Oryctolagus cuniculus: one gene and its partners. The protein of the gene in region 3 purifies or fractionates together with the protein of the main gene of each other region. This does not show direct contact. Links are inferred from orthologs where the notes say so. Each region holds a gene or a part of one and is shown on either strand. Other genes may lie near its edges.

Region 1 (5,552 bases), on a different chromosome or scaffold from region 3:
GATGTCGGAACGTGCAGGGCTCTCCAGGAAGACTGGAAAGAGAAAGCTGTTCCTGCCTGGGGAGTGTGAGGCGGGGAGAAAGGCGGGGAGGCCACGAGAGGTGCTGGCGTGTGGGGCTTATCCTGGGAAGTCTCAGGAAGCCCCTCCATCTGTGCAGTGGAGCAGTGTGGAGCCGTGAGCCCTGGGGCAGGCCAGACCGGAGACTGGCCAGCAGGCCTGCTCGGAGATGCTGCAGCCCAGGCCGGGGCTGCAGGAGAGCCAGGCGTGAGCACAAGTGGTTTCATGGCGGGAGCATGGAGCTCACTTGGTGCCTGGGTGCTGGAGGCAGGGCTTGCTCTATGTTGTTATCTTAGGTGGTCGTGTTGGGCCGTCAGACAGAGCTGGCGGATGGCAGTCCTTTGGCCCCGGGGGCAGTTGGCTTGAAGGGCCTGAGCTGAGCCCCTGCAGGTACCAGCTCCAGACAGATGGGTCATTTCCTGCACATCTGTGGCAGGAGGGAGATGGGCAGGTACTGACCAGAGGCGCAGCTGCACCTCTGCCCTGGGCAGTGAGAAACCCCAGTCCAGGCTGCAGCTGGGTGCTGAAGGATCCCGAGCTTCCCGAAGTGCGCAGGTTGCATCAGGATTCCAGCTGCCTCTGTGCTCGGGGTACAGAAATGCCGAAGTGAATCCGCGGGAGCCTGCAGCCAGCCTGCAGGGCACAGGAGCCCTGTGCTGTGGAGACGCCGGGTGTCCTGAGTCCTGTTGAGGACAGCTGCCCGAGCTGTCGCCTTCGCTGTGCTTGGTTTCAGATGAAAACAGCAACCAGAGTTCGGCGTCTGACGTCTACCAGCTGAAGGTGGACAGCAGCACCAACTCGAGCCCCAGCCCCCAGCAGAGCGAGTCTCTGAGCCCAGCACACACCTCGGACTTCCGCACAGACGACTCCCAGCCCCCCACGCTGGGCCAGGAGATCCTCGAGGGTGAGTCTGCCTTCACGATTGTCTTCTTTGGAGGAAGGGGTTAGGGGAGCACCCCACGGCCTGGCACCATCAAGCCATTTGGTAACAGCTTGGCATAGTTACAAAAACTTTTTTTTTTTTTTGACAGGCAGAGTGGACAGTGAGAGAGAGAGACAGAGAGAAAGGTCTTCCTTTTGCCGTTGGTTCACCCTCCAATGGCCGCCGTGGCTGGCACGCTGCTGCCAGCGCACTGCGCTGATCCGATGGCAGGAGCCAGGTGCTTTTCCTGGTCTCCCACGGGGTGCAGGGCCCAAGCACTTGGGCCATCCTCCACTGCACTCCCAGGCCACAGCAGAGAGCTGGCCTGGAAGGGGGGGCAACCAGGACAGAATCCGGCGCCCGACCGGGACTAGAACCTGGTGTGCCAGCGCCGCAAGGCGGAGGATTTAGCCTAGTGAGCCGCGGCACCAGCCAAAAACATTTTTTTTTTTTTTTCAACTTGAAAAGCAGAAAGGGGCCAGTGTTGTGGCACTGCAGGTTAGGCCACTGCTTGTGACACCAGCATCCCGGATCAGTGCATTTCAGTCCTGGCTGCCCCACTTCCAGTCCTGCTCCCACTGACGCACTTGGGAAAGCAGCAGAAGATGGCCCAAGTACCTGGACCCCTGCACCCATGTGAGACCTGGAAGAAGCTCCTGGCTCCTGGCTTCGGCCTGCTCTGGTCCTGGTTGTTGCGGCCATCTGGGGAGTGAATCAGCAGATGGAAGACTTCTTCCTCTCTCTGTCTTGCCCTCTGTGTCATTCTGCCTTTCAAATAAAATAAATCCTTAAAACAAAAAAAAAAAAGAAAACTTCCATCCATGGATTCACTCCCCAAATGCCTATAATACCTGGGACTGGGCCAGGAGGAAGCCAGCAGCCAGGAACTCCATCCAGGACCCCGACATGGGTGTCAAGAGGGTGTTCAGTAGCAGGAAGCTGGGTTCAGAACCAGAACCAGGACTGGAACCCAGGCACTCTGATGTAGAATGCCGGTATCCCAGCCTCTGCAGCAGACACCCAGTGCCCTGCACGTGGGCGTGTTGAGGAAGGACTGACTACCCCGTCCGGAGAGGCAGGAGGAAGCATGCGGCTCGAGCGAGGCGCAGGCGCTGTGGAGCCTGGGTGACCTCTCAGACACCCTGAGACAGAGAGCAAGTGGAGGCCTGGACGGGATCGCGGCGCTGCCAACTGGCAGAGTGGGCGTCAGCTTGAGTCCCTCAGACGCCAGCGTCCGTGCCCTTTGTGCTCTGTCCAGCACAAGCCGGAGTCGAGGTGCCCTGTCCTGGGCCCTCGTCAGCTTTGCCGCACTGCGATCTGGTGCCAGCTGGGCTACACGACAGAGCTGTCCTCTGTGTAGCTCCCTCCGTGTCTGTCTGCATCGCATCCCGTGGCAGGGGCCTGGGGAGCAATGAGCTGCTCTGGTGGGTCCAGGCACTTGCAGGCCAGGCTGGTCCCCTGTGGCCTAGTCTTAGTGTCCCCACCTCCCCGGGGTGGCCGTGGCTGCTCCACAAGACTCTGGCTCCTTCCCTCCTCACTGAGCCACTTCTGTCGGGTAACTGAGGACAGCGCCCTGCCTGGGGAGCTTGCCCTGGGCTGAACCTGCCGCTTTTTCAGAGCCCTCCCTGCCGGCCTCCGAAGTTGCCGACGAGCCTCCCACCCTCACCAAGGAAGAACCAGTGCCCCTGGAGACACAGGTGAGCGGTCACTGTGGGCGTCCCAGTTTCTCAGACACAAAGTAAAGGCTCTGTCGGCCCCTGGAGGGCGCAGAGAGGGTGTGGGGCGCCTCCGGGGTCTGCCAACCCACCTCTGGCTGCTCCTAGGTGGCCGCGGAAGAGGAAGATGCAAGTGCCCCACCCCTGAAGCGCTTCTGCGTGGACCAGCCTGCAGTGCCGCAGACAGCGTCGGCGTCGGAGAGCTAGCGGCGTCTGCACCCTCCGCCTCCCACCCCGCCTCTATTTATTGTTCTCTGGCTCTGGCCGGGCTGTGTCGCTGGGGTGAGGGCAAGCGCTGGGGTCCAGAGCCTGCACATAGGAACCGTCCAGCCTGGAAGCTGACAAAGGACTTGGGGTTGCAGCACCATCATCTGTCCCTGGCACCTGTCTGCTTGTTCCCCCCAGAGGAGGAGTGCTCCTGTCCTCCCATACCCAAGTAGGCTGGAGAGTCCGCCCTCCCCGGTTCTTCTGTCACCCCCAGGTGGCAGTCTCTGCCCCAGGACCTCTGGACGGAGCTGCTGGCATGTCTGAGAGAGAGAGAGAGAGAGAGAGAGAGAGAGAGAGAGACTGTGAGAGACTGTGAGAGACTGTGAGACTGTGTGGATGGCGCCCTCTAGAGGAGAGAGTGCCTAAGGATACTTGAACTTGAAAGGAGATTGTAGAAGCTGGGATCCTCAGGGTGTGCGGCCTCCAGGCCGCTGCTGGAGGAGACTGGGCCAAGGGAGGGAGGGTGAAGGTCCGTCTCTGCCCCAGCCCGAGGCGGTCCTGCCTCCGGTGGGCTCTGGCTGCTGGTGGTCTTTGTGCCCTCCCCCCGCGCACTCCCACGCCGGCGGCTTTGTTCCCACCCGTGCGTGTCATTCCAGCACCCCCTGCCTCCTGCTGTACACTCTGCCTCAGCAAGAAGTCGAGGTTCTGACATCAGCACCCACCCCCACAGTACTGCTTCAGCTCAGACTTCTAGAAAGTTCCCTCTTCTTTCAAACCTGCATGTTTAATTGAACTTTGTGATTTTATTTTTTGTTTCAAAAAAAGTTTAAGAAAATGGAAATGAGCGACAGTGAGTGAAGACATATTTTAGCACTGAATAGAATATTTTTAAAATTAAACTATTTGAAATAGTCTTGTTGGTCTCTGAGTGCCTCATTGTGGAAGGGGGCAGGCAGGGCTGGGGGTGCTGGGGGCTGGGCCCTTAGACAGGAGTGCGCTGCCAAGATTGCCTTGACATTGTCGTGTGGCCAGTGCTGTCCCTGTGTGTCTTACGCAGCCCCAGGCAGCAGGGAGGAATCCGTGAAGTCTGTTTTTCACTTTTGAAATCGTCGTAGAATGCACATCACACGAAAGCTTAGCATTTGCACCTGCAGGTCAGCACACAGTGTAAGCTGCTCACACGTCTGGTCATCGCCACCCTCCCCGTGAGCCTTCTCACTGCCCCCACGGGACCCTCCCACCCCACAGCACTCGCTCCCTGTTTCCCACTCTTCCCAGGCCCCGGCAGCCACGGATTCCTTTTTGTTCTGATTCCTAAGGAAATCAGAAGGGTCATGGTTGAAAAGAATCTGGCGTTAGGTGTGTTCAAGAGTTTCCTAAGTAATGCCTTTGACCCCTCACCGGGGCTCCAGGTATCATGGACGGGACTAGAATCCAAGTTCTGCTGCCCCGCCTTATTAACCCCTACTTGTTTTTTCTTAAAAATTGGACACTATTAAGTTGTGAAATGAATGTCACAGATTCCATGATGACTTGTGGCACATAAGATAAATGTGTTCTCTAATGTATTTAAGCAAGGGAAAGTATAACCAGTAAGAGGCCATCAAAAAATGGCCAGGGGTAGGTGTTTTGGGCAGTGATTAAGTCACGTCCTGTATATTAGAATGCCTGGATCAAGTCCCAGCTCCTTTGCTCCTGATCCAGCTTCCTACTAATGTTCCCTGGAAGGCAGAAGATGAAGTTCAAGTACTTGGGTGTCTGTCACCCACGTGAGAGAGCCAAAGGGAGCTCCCGGCTTTGGCCTGGCCCAGCCCCAACCCTAGCTGTTACATGGGCATCTGGGGAATGAACCAATGGGTGGATGGTTTCTCTGTCACTCTGCCTTTTGAATAAACACATCTTCAAAAATACAAAAAAAAAAAAAAAAAAAACATATGGGCTCACCTAACTAATGGTGTGGAATAAGGATTGCCCCAGAGGCCAGAGGGGTTTGGAGTATAAAGAAGACGAGTGGACCTCACCTTTTTATCTGGGGTTAGATTTCCATGCTGTGTTAGTCAGCCTTGACAGGTGCTTGTTTTACAAATACTTGGTGCCGATGTATCCCACATGGTCGCTGTCTTTTTAAGGAGTGTATGGTGTGGTGAGGTAGGGAGGGTGGACAGGAGCCTATGCCTCACGGGGGGTGGGGTGGAGGGAAGAGGACCGTAAGGGTCCGGGGAAGCGTTTCGCTGGGCATTGAAACCTCTGGTTGGGTGCAGACAGACCTGAGGAAAGAGAGTAACCAGGGCAAGTGAGGGACAGAGGTGGCAAAGCACTGGGCGTATGCAGGAGCAAACCATGTAATCGGGTCTCTAACTTCCCCCACATTTCAGGGAATTTGCAAAACCGGACAGTTAGCAAAAAGTCCCATAAATGGGTAAAGTGTTTCCTTCACCTCGGTTCACCTGGTACCCCTGGGTGGTTGGTCCAGGACCCCTGCAGATACCAAAATCTATGGGTGCTCACATCCCTTAGATAAATGGCCACAGGCGTGGGTGGTGGTGCACAGTGGGTTAAGCTTCCCCTTGGGATGCCCGCATCCCACGTTGAGTCCGTCTGCTCTGCTTCCAGTGGCGCTTCCTGCTTAGGCATCCTGGGAGGCAGCAGAC
Region 2 (6,397 bases), on a different chromosome or scaffold from region 3:
ATAAAAACCAAAACACTGAAAAGGTTAAAAAATGAAAGCAACAGGATGGCTCTATACTTCTCTATGGCTCGCTCTCTAGCATAACCCTGAAAAGGTGCCAAGGTTCTAAGTTTGTTTCTCGTAATATCATCCTGCTCCACCATAAAATCTTGTCCTTTATTTTTCACTGCTCATGTATTACTTCCTCAAAGATAATCCTTTTAGAAAATCAAAATGTTATTCATCTAAATAAGTGCATCTTAATCTTTCAAAATTTTTATCTATGAAACTGCTGGGGAAGAAAAAGTAACAAAACAATGAATTATAAACAGATAACCTAAAATCACTAGTAAATATAAAAAACATAATTTCAATCAGTTCTGATCATTACTGAGCCATAAATTCTCCCTTTTTAAAACTAATAATTCAATTAACCCCACAGGAGGAATGATACCTGCCCCAAAGACCACATCTGTATAGGCAAATGCATCCACCCAGGTATAAGAACACCAAACCATCTAAATATCTCAAACATACCTGTGTGTTCCAGATGTGTACACATTTGTCAAAAGAGCCACTTGCCAGATACCTGCCATCAGGACTGAAAGCTACGCTGTACACAGGCTCTTGGTGTTTTGTCAAAGTATGTATGCAAATTCCTCTGTCAACATCCCATAACCTAACAGTAGAATCGAAGGATGCACTGAAAATGGAGGAAAGAAAATTAGATTAAAGGTAATGAAATACTCTTATAGCCTTGTATCCAATCTGCCAATATTCTGATACTTGAAACAGCCACAAATTCTTCATGAGAAGAAGATTGGACTGTAAGGAAATAAGTATTCTGGAACCTAGACAATTCTAAATCCCTAAACCAGAAAACATAAATAAGGTAATTCACTGTCTTTTTCACTTCAAATAATCCCTTTTTACTGATTCATGATCTTAAACACAGAATTGGCCAAATCTATTGATTTATTTTTAAGATGATGAAAAAACAGAACTATACATTATGTCTAAATTACTTACATTTTAATCAATATTTGATATCAAGTCAGAATTTGGTTACCTCCATTATGTCCTGAAATACTAATAATATAGCCTGTATTTAAAGGCCCCCCTTGAAAATATAGTCCCTGGGGAGTTTGGCCAGGCATTTAAGACAATGGTTAGGGTACCTGCATCCCACATCAGAGTGCCTGGGTTTGATTGCCGTTTCTTACTAGGACAAGACCCTGTGACAGCCAAGAAGGCTCAGTGGGTGGGTTTATTTATGCTTGTAAGATCTACACTGCCATGTCATAGGATCTTCCCTACTTGTAAATTCAAATTCATTAGAAGCTTTATTTGTAAAGGACTCATAAAAGGAAGAGTAAAACAGAAATATCGTATCACCTTGCTAACATAAGGTTGGCATTTGGATTATTCGTCCCTGGTCCAGTTGGACTCCATTTGATAGTATAAATCTCTTTATTATGTGCTTGCAAATCATGGACACAATTGTCTTGCTTCATACTCCATATCTAAACAAAAAAGAAAATGTATATAATTATGGTTCAGTATAATGAGTACATTCAAAATATACTATCTTGCCAGCCCAAAATATGAGTGATAGAACCAAAATTAAGGGAATATTTGTAATTTAAATACAGAATATATTTAATATTTTTGGAATAAATGATATTATCTTTGTCGCCTTCAAAAATATTCACTATTGTAAGGTTTGAAGACTGAATTATAGTTTTTTTCCATGATTACTTCTGGTAGATTAAAAAGTTGCAAAGTTCAACATCAAAATGTTAAAGGGACTGCTTTGATGCTGTCCCTTAAATAACAGACATTATATATTGCTCTTAGAATTAACTAGCCGGAAATTACTTTCTGTAATGAAGTGAAAATAAGTAAACAGCTTACAAAATAATGTGATGACTCGAACAGAACAAGTGATGAAAACACATGCAATAGAGCTAAAGTAGTAGAGAATAAGCTTCTGCTGAGGTGAAAAATGCTATGTTCAGGTTAAAAAATCTGCATTAATTATGAGCAAAAATTAATAGAAACCTACATCCAGAGTATTTTTGGATGTATCAATATAGACTTGAAAGGTGGAATGGGGGAAACACATAAGATGTCTTGACAAACACAAGCACATCAACTCCAACAGCAGAAGGGAAACAAAAGTTAGCTGGACTTCATACTCCTACAATAAAACTAACAAAAAATAATGGGGTACTATCATAGTGTTTTTGCAGTTCAGGCATTTATAACCCCATGTAAATGAACTCAAAAGATGTTTTTCCAGAACAAATTTCGTTAGACTTCCTTCCAATGGCATTTGATACTGTTGGCCACTCCCATCCAGTGTCTCTGTGAAGTACTTTTCTCTACACATTCTCTCTCTTTTCCACTTTGGTCACTCCTCAGTCTCTGGAAGCTTAGGTAGGTGTTTTGTAATGAGAGAATCAGACCCATGAAGCCTCTCCATCTGCATTACTCCGACATTATTAAAATTCAATATGATCTTCTCACTCAATTAGGTATTCCCTGTTCTCAGAAAATGGCCCTCTTACAGCTTGCCCATCCACCTAGTTTTTGTTTTAAAATCCTATGTGACCTTTATTTATTCTTAAGATGCAGAAAAGCTCTCTTAAAATTTCAAGTTCCAATCTATCTCTGCAGCTGCAACTCAATCCATGACATAAGGCTCAACGAGCACCGGCTTCCATTTCCTTGTATATCATATGCTTTTCTACAAATTTTTCATTTTATAAGTACTAATATATGTACATACAAGGAAAACTCCAAAATAAAAGCATTAAGAAAAGCCTTTTTACTAGCAATGCTCCTAAGGGAGCCAGCACTTGAGAACTATCTGACTGAACAAACAGCAGGTACTTAGGGTAAAAAAAATCCAGAGAGTTCCCAAGGTTACATTCAGTCCATTCATGGTAGGAGGAAAAGCAGTTTTCCCTCAAGATTATTTTATCTGTAAAGGTTATCACATCTGCAGTCTGGTATCACAAAGTCAAAGATAAAACTGTTTTCAGTAGAGTTATCTGTTACAGAAGAGAACTGCAGGCTTCATTTATTTTGGAGATTAGTAGTTGGCTGGTTTTTTACTTCAAAATTCTTTTTCCCTAACTGTGGTACAATGTGCTTAGATGAAAGGTAGCAACAGTTTTGCTTTCAGTCAGACAAGAAAAAAATAATAAATGCAGGTTAAAACGTGGCTGCTGGCATGTAGGCTTGCTCAGTCACTCAGAGACTCCCAACTCATTTCTATCAGTTTCCCAGCCAGGGAGATACAAATTCACATCACAACAAAAGCAAATTGATACAATTCACAGAATTTCAGATAAATTCACAAATGCTTCAAAGATCTTAAATATTTGTCAGTCAGATCTTCACATGTGAAAATAAACTTTAATTGAACCAATACATAGTGTTACATTTCTTACTGCCTGTGAGGGTTAATTTTATAAGTCAACTTGAGAAAGTCATAGAGAACTCAGAGATTTAACTAAACATTATTTCTGTGTGGTTTTGTGAGGGTGTTTATGGATGAGACTGGGTTTTGATCACTAGACTAAGTAAGGCAGACTACCCTCTCTCCAGTGTAGCTGGGTATGATCAGATGCAGAGAGGTCCGGAACAAACCAGAACGGCAGCCTGACCACTGAGCTAGGATACTGGGCTTCCAGGGACTGGAACTTAACCACTGGTATTCCTGACCCCTAGGCCATGGATCCTGCCTGGAGTTTCACCAGCAGTTTTCTGAGTCTTTAGTTGGCAAACAGCAGAACATGCATGTGATTATCAGCGACCATAACCTTGTGAGCCAATTGTTCACAAATCTCTTACGATGGATTGATTGGTCTGTCCCCTCTATGGGTTCTATGTCTCTGGAGAATGCTGATTAATATGCCATCATAACTGTATGACTATTAATACAATGTATTTGCTATATTCAAGTAATTCTATATATCCCAGAAAAGAAAATTAAAGTACGCAAAACAATAATTAATCATTAGAGAGCAGGAAAAGTTCTCACCAAGGCTTAAACATACAATGTAAGAAATATTCTAAACAGTCAAAGCAGGCACACTGTGTGACACTCCCATCGCATCCCCATTAAACATTAATTACCTTCAAAGTCATGTCATCAGAGCAGGAGGCCAGGAGATTGCCAGTTGGGTCCCATTTGATAGCATTTACTTCATTCTAAAAATAAATATTCACATTTTCATTTGCTAGATTGGGTTACTGTGCAGATATTAAACAGAAACATGTCAAAATTATTCTGAAATATCACTTGTCATAATCCCTGTAACAGGGAGGGAAAAGGTTTCTTACCGTATGTCCCTGGAATGTTTTAATAGGTCTGTCTTGTCCTAATTTACAGACATGAATGCACATATCCGTACTACATGAAGCAAAGGTGTTGTTGCTCTGCCAATCAACATCCAATGCTGGTGCTGGAAAGGAACAAAGTTGAAGTTTGCATTTATTCCACATATACTGAAGTCCAGAAGCTTTAGCTTTGAACCATAGTTAAGACATTAAGCATGCTACGTGGTACCTAACATTTTGATACTTTTTAAGATACTAAGAAAAAATATTTATTTTTAAAATAAAACTATCAAACTATCATAAGCATTACTTTCCATTTAGTTATCTCTATATGAGATGCACCCTAACAGAAAACACACTGACCTACTTAATTGGGAGACTGGGGTTCCTGAGTGTTTGCTCTATAAATTACTAGCACCAAAACTTGGGTGCTGCTTTGCAAAATGGTAAGATTAAAAGTGATGGGGCTGGCATTATGGTGTAGTGGGTAGAGCCACCGACTGCAGTGCTGACATCCCATATGGGAGCCAGTTCGAGACCCGGCTTCTCCACTTCTCATCCAGCTCTCTGTTATGGCCTGGGAAAGCAGTAAAAGATGGCCCAAGTGCTTGGGCCCCTGTACCTGTGTGGGAGACCCAGAGAAAGCTGCTGGCTCCTGGCTTCGGATCGGCACAGTTGCAGCTAACTGGGGAGAGAACTAACGATGGAAGACCTCTCTCTCTCTCTCTCTGCCTCTCCTTCTCTCTGTGTATAACTCCGACTTTCAAATAAATAATTTTTTTTTTAAGTGATGATACCATTCCTTCTATTTCCAAAGTGCTGTTGAGTGTTCAATGAACAAGAATCCTGGTTCTGCCACTATCCAATTAGAGTCAAGCAAATCACTTAAATTCTCATACTGTTTTGTCACCAATGGGGATAACATACCACTTTCAAGCTTACTACCCAAGATGCTGTGAAGAATAAGTGAGATGATGCATGTGGAAAGTGCTATGGAGATTACAAGTGTTAGACAAATGTTATTTAAGAATTATTTCCATTATAATCTACTCAATTTGATAGGTGGAATGTTGGATACTATTCGCAAATACACTTTCTTGTCAAATATGTGTGTGTATATATATATATACATGTGTACCTGTATCTTCCGTATTCATATGTGTATCTTATAGTCTATTTTTGTCAGTATCTCAAATTCACAGAATTTAAACCTCAGAAGCCCAAGAGTTGGCTGGCATTTAATACATAGTCTGAATTTAGCTGATACCATTAAACACTCTTTCCTTTGATTTTCTCCTAATGCAAGGTGCAAAGGCTGTCTGTAATTAGCAATGCAAATTAACGTAATGACAGCAAGAAATTGGGTTATGCAAGAGACACATATCAAGCAAACTGTGGCATAGGCTAAAGAAAACTGTGGTATGTGAGGCAAGAATGGTTTCTAAAGACACATAAAACACGAAAAATCACATTAAATTTAAATGTTAGTGTCCCATAAAATGCTGTACTGGAACCCAGCCAAGCTTATTACACTAAATATTATCCATGGCTGTTTTGCACCACAGGTCAAAGCTGACTAGTTGTAACAGAAATCCTTTGGTCTAGAAAGCACAAAATATTTACTTTGTTTTTGACAAAAAATTTGTCAACCCAATTTAAAGGAAGAACTTAAGAACAAGGAGAAAAATAGGACACAAAGCTGTGTGAACAACACTCATTATTAAGCATGTAATAAAGGAAAAGATCAGAATTGGTGCTCATGGGCAGCAAAAACAAAGCCACTCCTCCATTGTGGATACAGGTATAACAGTAACTGGCTAGGTTACACCTGACCATACTGCAGTGTTTGTGAACTTAAGGCAAGGAACACGTTACATATGAGAATTTGCAACAGCATTCGTGACTTGAAAATTTCATCAGGATTTTCTAAATTACAGTAAGATTTTTTAAGATGTTTAAAGGCAAAAAAAAAACAAAATCAGAGAAAAACTAAGATCCAAAGTACAGCTAAGAACACTGACAATATTTATATGGCCTAACATACTGTGGCAAAAAATACCCTACATGC
Region 3 (6,397 bases):
AGAGAGACAGAGAGAGAAAGGTCTTCCTTTGCCGTTGGTTCACTCTCCAGTGGCCGCCGCAGCCGGCGCGCTGCGGCCGGCACACCGCGCTGATCCGATGGCAGGAGCCAGGTGCTTCTCCTGGTCTCCCATGGGGTGCAGGGCCCAGGCACTTGGGCCATCCTCCACTGCACTCCCTGGCCACAGCAGAGAGCTGGCCTGGAAGAGGGGCAACTGGGACAGAATCCAGCACCCCGACCGGGACTAGAACCCGGTATGCCAGCGCTGCAAGGCGGAGGAGCCGCAGCGCCAGCCCTGTCCTATGCTTTCAAAAATGTTTAAGAACATAACTGTTCCTCTACAGCAGAGATGGGGGAAGTTTTATTTGGCCAAGGGCCGGGCCATGTGGATATTTCTAAAATCATTTGCAGGCCATACCAAATTATTAGAGATTAGCCAGCTATAGGTTTATTGAATTTTGAGTCCTCTCTGCAGTTGCCTTGGTAGTGCCAGACCAAATGATTTTGCGGGACTTCTATGGCCCATAGGCCAGACGCCCTCTACGTTTGCCCTAGAGGGTGATTTGCTGAAAATTAAACCGAGTCCTTTGCGAGCTTACAGACGCATAGTTGGAGGTAGGGGCCTGTCACAGACAAGAATGATTTGTGGGGACGGCGCCGCAGCTCACTAGGCTAATCCTCCGCCTTGCGGCGCCGGCACACCAGGTTCTAGTCCCAGTCGGGGCGCCGGATTCTGTCCCGGTTGCACCTCTTCCAGGCCAGCTCTCTGCTGTGGCCAGGGAGTGCAGTGGAGGATGGCCCAAGTCCTTGGGCCCTGCACCCCATGGGAGACCAGGATAAGTACCTGGCTCCTGCCATCGGATCAGCGCGGTGTGCCGGCTGCAGCGCACCGGCCACGGCGGCCATTGGAGAGTGAACCAACGGCAAAAGGAAGACCTTTCTCTCTGTCTCTCTCTCTCACTGTCCACTCTGCCTGTCAAGAAAAAAAAAAGAATTATTTGTGAATATAAGTGTAGAGAGTAGTCACAGGTATTTTTGGTTGGAGAAGGGAAGAAGGTAGTGAGTGTTTCAAGCCCTGGAATGATTGGGGCTGGAGGGAGTTGCTATGTTTTGCAGTCAAATGGAGAAAATTTGTTGAGAAAGTAGGATATGTAGAACTATTAATAGTGGAGAGATGAGGGCTCAGCTGAGGCCGAATCTGCCTGATGAGATGACTCTCTCTTCTGGCAGTGAACACTAAGAAGGACTCGGAGTCAGCTCCCGTCAAAGGAGGCACCATGACCGACCTGGGTAAGGGTCGACCTCGGGCAAGGCTGTCAGAGCCCGAGGCTGGGGGAGGGCTCAGCCCCGCCTCCCCCCTGGCCTGACAGGCTTTGCAGCAGGACTCCCCTACCCCTCGGGAGGCTTTAGCCTTATCACACTGCCTTCTCTTTCAGATGAACAGGAGGATGAGAGCATGGAGACCACGGGCAAGGTGGAGCCAGTTTAGAGAGGGCCTCCCTCTCTATGTGATTCTGATCTGTGATGATAAAATTCCTTCTGTCCCAGCTTTTCCCACTCCAGGCTAATCCTAGCTATTGCTCAAAGCCCCAAGCCTTTTCGAGTCCCTCAGCCCATGCCTGCTCACTCCTGTCCACCCATCATCTGTGTCCACTTCCCTGGGGTGTGGGGGGAAGCAGAGGGTTGCTGAGGGGACAGAGGAATGCTGAGTGTCCAGCAGCCTCCATACTCCTAGGATGAGGACGAGAACAGCACGGGGAACAAGGGGGAGCAGACCAAGAATCCAGACCTGCATGAGGACAACGTGACTGAGCAGACACACCACATCATCATTCCCAGCTATGCTGCCTGGTTTGACTACAACAGGTATTGTTCTGGCTTCTCCCTGGATGGCTTCCCTGACTCCAGGATCAGTGAGCTGCTGCTTCCCCTGCCTCCTCCGAATGAGAGTTTTGCCTCAGCCAGGTAGACCAGGCTGCTTTTCCATTCTCAAGGAGCTCCTGGTCTATTTTGAGTCTTAGAGGCCTTGTAGGGTGTTCTCCCTACATCTCTAATTCTTTCCTGCAGTTTCAAGCCATCTCCCCATCCCACCTTCTAGGCTTTTCTCCCCTCTGGAGCTCCCGCCTCTCCTCTAAGCCCATGTCCACTCTGACTTCTCTTGCAGTGTGCATGCCATTGAGAGGAGGGCTCTCCCCGAGTTCTTCAACGGCAAGAACAAGTCCAAGACCCCAGAGATGTAAGGAAATCTCAGCCCATGATCCCCTTCTCCCCTCTGTCCCTGCTTGCCCTTCCTGACCCAGCAGCATTCAGTTCAGCAAGCATTTGTTGAGCTCCTTGCGTGCTAGGTTTATAAAGACGTGATCTGTGCAGCCCAGCACTTGGACACGTGTTCTTTAGAATGTTCCCAGGGGGACATCCAGCATGCCTTTCTATGCAGAACAAGTGCCTGCTCTGGTACCCAAAATTCTGGCCCAAGGACACAGCCTCTCTGCCATGATCACTGAGACTGTCTACAGTGCAGACGTCTGTAGCACAAGTAGGAGCTTTAAAATATGAGTGACTGTCACCAAGCTGGTCTGAGAGTAGATTTTGATGAAAAGGACAAGAGAAGGAACTCAGAGAGGACCTAAGTCTGTGAATGGAGGGATAGAGAGAACTAGTTAGTATCAGGTGCAGAAGTCTTCATCTCCTTCAAGGTTTTGCCTCAGGCCAGACTTGCCTGGCTTTGGTTAAGACTCGGTGACCTTCTGTGGTTAGGGTTACTCCAGGGTAAATGCATGAGAAGGTGGGTGAAACTGAGAACTGAACAGGTTTTCTTCTTACCTGTTCCTCAGCTTCCCTTTTCTGGGGTCCTCTCTTCCCACCTGTTTCTTGGCCCATAGCCTGGTTCTCCTCCCAGCAAAGCAGTGTGCGTGAAAAGAAAGGAAAAGGAAGTAGTGCCCAAATGATACACCAGTCGGGTTGGGCCGGAACAAATTCTTGGTATATTCTAGTAAATGATGGCAATTGCCTTCATCTGTTGAGAGCACTGTCTGCCAGGCACCATCCTGAGTGTTCTGCACACACTGATTTTATCTCACATTAACGTTGGAGATAGGTCGTGTTATCATCTCCAGGTTACAAGTGAGACAGCTGGCTATAAAGGCGTTGTGTCTTGAATAAGGTCACACCACTAGTAAGTCGGTCTCCTTCAATCTGCCTCATGTTTTCAAACTTGACATTGCACCCCTAACAGCTTCCACGTCTTCAGCTCCTGCACTGTTCCAGACTGTGCTAGTGCTTTCCAGGCTTCCACGGCCCTCGGCAGACATTCCACTGTACAGGGGAGGAAGCTGAGTTCAGGAAGTTAAAAATCACTGGTCAAGGCCATCGCAGTAGAACTGGGATTTGAAGTTATATCTTCCCACTTAAGAACATACGTTCTGGGCCGACGCCGCGGCTCACTAGGCTAATCCTCTACCTGCAGTGCCGGCACACCGGGTTCTAGTCCCAGTCGGGGCGCCGGATTCTGTCCCGGTTGCCCCACTTCCAGGCCAGCTCTCTGCTGTGGCCAGGGAGTGCAGTGGAGGATGGCCCATTGGGAGACCAGGATAAGTACCTGGCTACTGCCTTTGGCTCAGCGCGGTGCGCCAGCCACGGCGGCCATTGAAGGGTGAACCAGCGGCAAAGGAAGACCTTTCTCTCTGTCTCTCTCACTATCCACTCTGCCTGTCAAAAAAAAAAAAAACTGTCCACCGTGTCACACATCTGCACACGCACAAATAAGGCTCCCCTTTAGTGTCAGGGTTTTAAGACAAGGGCATCTTTTCTTACCTTTTGATTCCTTGTTTCAAAGTTGGGTGTAACATCTCTGAGGGTAGCCAAGAAGACATTCATTTGCCTGGAACCCCGTCAGGGAGAGTGTGAGGCTGTTAGAGTCCCTTGCAGCCAGCACGCAGCAGGCACTCCGTGTATAGCGAGTCAGACCGTCTACTCTGTCCCATCTTTGTGGTGTAGGAGGAATCGTTAGCTCTTTTACCAGTTTCCTACCCTTCAGCCTTCAACATGTCTTCTTCCTCTTGTTCATCCCTTTCTCTCCTAAGCTACCTGGCCTACCGAAACTTCATGATTGACACTTACCGACTTAACCCCCAAGAGTACCTCACCTCCACTGCCTGCCGCCGGAACCTGGCCGGGGACGTCTGTGCCATCATGAGGTGGGTCTTGCCACTGAGTGGAGGGCAGGGGTGTGTGGGTGCATCCTGGCAGAGGGCAATGCAGCCAGCAGTGTAAGGGAGAGGACAGGGACAGACCTCTAGAGAAAGGTGAAGCCCAGGTGTGGGTGGTGGCAGTGTGGACAGGAGCACGTCCGTGACCATGACCGTGACAGCGGTTCTGTTTCACCAGCTGTCTGGGGAGGGGTGCTTAGCAGCATCTGGCTGAGAGAGGGTTAGACTACAGATGCGGGCTTGGTGTCACTGGGGTCTGGGTGGTGGGTAAGCAGTGGGATTTTCCAGAGAGTGGAATAAACAGAAGAGACCAGGGGAGGAGGAGAGGGAGCTTTACACCGCTGTCTCTACCACAGTCCTCCTCATGCACCTTTCCAGCTGTTCCATGTGACCCTGACTCTGCCTCCCTCCTCACAGGGTCCATGCCTTCCTCGAGCAGTGGGGTCTTATTAACTACCAGGTGGATGCCGAGAGCCGACCAACCCCCATGGGGCCTCCGCCCACCTCTCACTTCCATGTCTTGGCCGACACACCGTCGGGGCTGGTGCCTCTGCAGCCCAAGACCCCGCAGGTAGGGCGAGGGGCTGTGGGGACAGGGTGGGCTTGGGTAAGATTGGGCTTCTTCAGACTTTCTTTTTCTGGTTTTTAGGGTAATGGTTCAGGAGTATTTTGAGGCTTCTTCCTTTTCCATGGGAGGCGAAGGGCCACAGGCGTGAGCCCCGTGTGTTAGCACCCTCTCTCAGCCTCTGTACTCAAGGCTGCGAGGACTTCCTGAGGGAGTGAGATCCTCCTTGTCCTCAGGGAGCAGATAGGCCAGTGTAGGGTTGAAGCAGACAGAGGAAAATGGTGTAAAATTGACTTGCATGAAATTGTCACACTTCCTCATGTTTCCCACATTTTTTCATTTTTGTCTCATAATTATTATCACCTCCATTTTTTCCACTTCCATTTCATCTATTATAAAAATTAAGAGAAGAAAGGTTATGTGGCTTGCCCAAGGTCACAGAGTACCAAATCTAGGAATAGAATCTAATTGTCCAGCTCCTAAGAGAACCTTAAAAGTACATGTGCATACAAATGGACACCATGCCAACCATGTGTCTAATTAATCAGAAAGGGAACTGGAACAGTGGCATGAGTGCCCCAGAGCTTGCGGGCCACCCAGCATTTGGTCTTGGCCTGGTCATTTCCTGCCCAGCTTCCATGACGCCAAGCTCTGTCCCCCAGGGCCGCCAGGTTGATGCTGATACCAAGGCTGGGCGAAAGGGCAAAGAGCTGGATGACCTGGTGCCAGAGACGGCTAAGGGCAAGCCAGAGCTGGTAGGTGGGGTGCAGACCCCGCTGAGCTTCTTATTTGCCCCTTTATTGGGGGTCCCCTGCCCGGGAAAAAGAGGCATGAGAGCAGAGGAGCTACAGCAGTAGGGGAGGAAGTCCCGCCAGGGACGTCCCTGGACTGGGAAGGAAGCTCCTTCTGTCTGTTTTCTCTCTCTGTCTGCCCCTGACCCCCAGTGGTCACTCGTACTCACCTCTTTCTTTCCCCTCCACAAATAGCAGACCTCTGCTTCCCAACAAATGCTCAACTTTCCTGACAAAGGCAAAGAGAAACCAACAGACATGCAGAACTTCGGGCTGCGCACAGACATGTACACGAAGAAGAGCGTCCCCTCCAAGGTAGGCGGTGCAGGCTGGCTGCGGGGCTGGAGAACCTCTCCCAAGAGCTCCCAGGCTCCTGCCTCCTGACCCGCCTGCATCCTCTGCAGAGCAAAGCCGCAGCCAGTGCCACTCGAGAGTGGACAGAACAGGAGACCCTGCTACTCCTCGAGGTAATTGGGGCAAGGAAGAGAGTTCTGCTACAAAAACAGTAGGGACCAGGGTGCCAGCTGCACTTGGGAGCTGGGAGAGCTCATGGAGTCTGGCGTGAGCAGAGCACCATCTCTTCCCGGTCTCTCCCCTTCCTGATGTCTGTCACACCTGCCCCAGGGAACAGCTCCAGGCCAGGGATCTGGGACGTTTCTTTAACTTCAGATCCTTTCTTAGTGCTACTTGGAGATCCCCCTTGGATCCAGCAGAGTAAACACAAAGCAGAACACAGAGAGCTTTGAAGCCAGCTGCCCCTGGTAGCATAGCGGGAGTTGACCTCCAAGGAAGGTGGCTAAATAAGAAGAGTTATGTCTCCACCACCCCACCAGG

What was found.
Region 1: the proteins of SMARCC2 (region 3) and BCL7B purify together in Homo sapiens (affinity purification with mass spectrometry; 3 studies listed by BioGRID and IntAct, counting the BioPlex papers as one, with this or other methods). This does not show direct contact. The link is inferred for Oryctolagus cuniculus from reciprocal best matches to the Homo sapiens genes SMARCC2 and BCL7B.
Region 2: the proteins of SMARCC2 (region 3) and TBL1XR1 fractionate together in Homo sapiens (co-fractionation; 3 studies listed by BioGRID, with this or other methods). This does not show direct contact. The link is inferred for Oryctolagus cuniculus from reciprocal best matches to the Homo sapiens genes SMARCC2 and TBL1XR1.

Annotation. Positions count from the first base shown.
Region 1 is NC_091450.1:50,490,777-50,496,328, forward strand, and holds the end of BCL7B (B-cell CLL/lymphoma 7 protein family member B), read left to right. Parts: intron 1-790; coding exon 791-961; intron 962-2,596; coding exon 2,597-2,676; intron 2,677-2,802; coding exon 2,803-2,901; 3' UTR 2,902-3,814; downstream 3,815-5,552. UniProt on the Homo sapiens protein: Positive regulator of apoptosis. Plays a role in the Wnt signaling pathway, negatively regulating the expression of Wnt signaling components CTNNB1 and HMGA1.
Region 2 is NC_091435.1:102,881,673-102,888,069, reverse strand, and holds part of TBL1XR1 (F-box-like/WD repeat-containing protein TBL1XR1), read right to left. Parts: intron 4,455-6,397; coding exon 4,333-4,454; intron 4,201-4,332; coding exon 4,126-4,200; intron 1,503-4,125; coding exon 1,375-1,502; intron 683-1,374; coding exon 517-682; intron 1-516. UniProt on the Homo sapiens protein: F-box-like protein involved in the recruitment of the ubiquitin/19S proteasome complex to nuclear receptor-regulated transcription units. Plays an essential role in transcription activation mediated by nuclear receptors.
Region 3 is NC_091442.1:58,976,177-58,982,573, reverse strand, and holds part of SMARCC2 (SWI/SNF complex subunit SMARCC2), read left to right. Parts: intron 1-1,229; coding exon 1,230-1,289; intron 1,290-1,435; coding exon 1,436-1,473; intron 1,474-1,734; coding exon 1,735-1,865; intron 1,866-2,163; coding exon 2,164-2,235; intron 2,236-4,081; coding exon 4,082-4,195; intron 4,196-4,624; coding exon 4,625-4,778; intron 4,779-5,434; coding exon 5,435-5,527; intron 5,528-5,758; coding exon 5,759-5,878; intron 5,879-5,967; coding exon 5,968-6,030; intron 6,031-6,396; coding exon 6,397-6,397. UniProt on the Homo sapiens protein: Involved in transcriptional activation and repression of select genes by chromatin remodeling (alteration of DNA-nucleosome topology).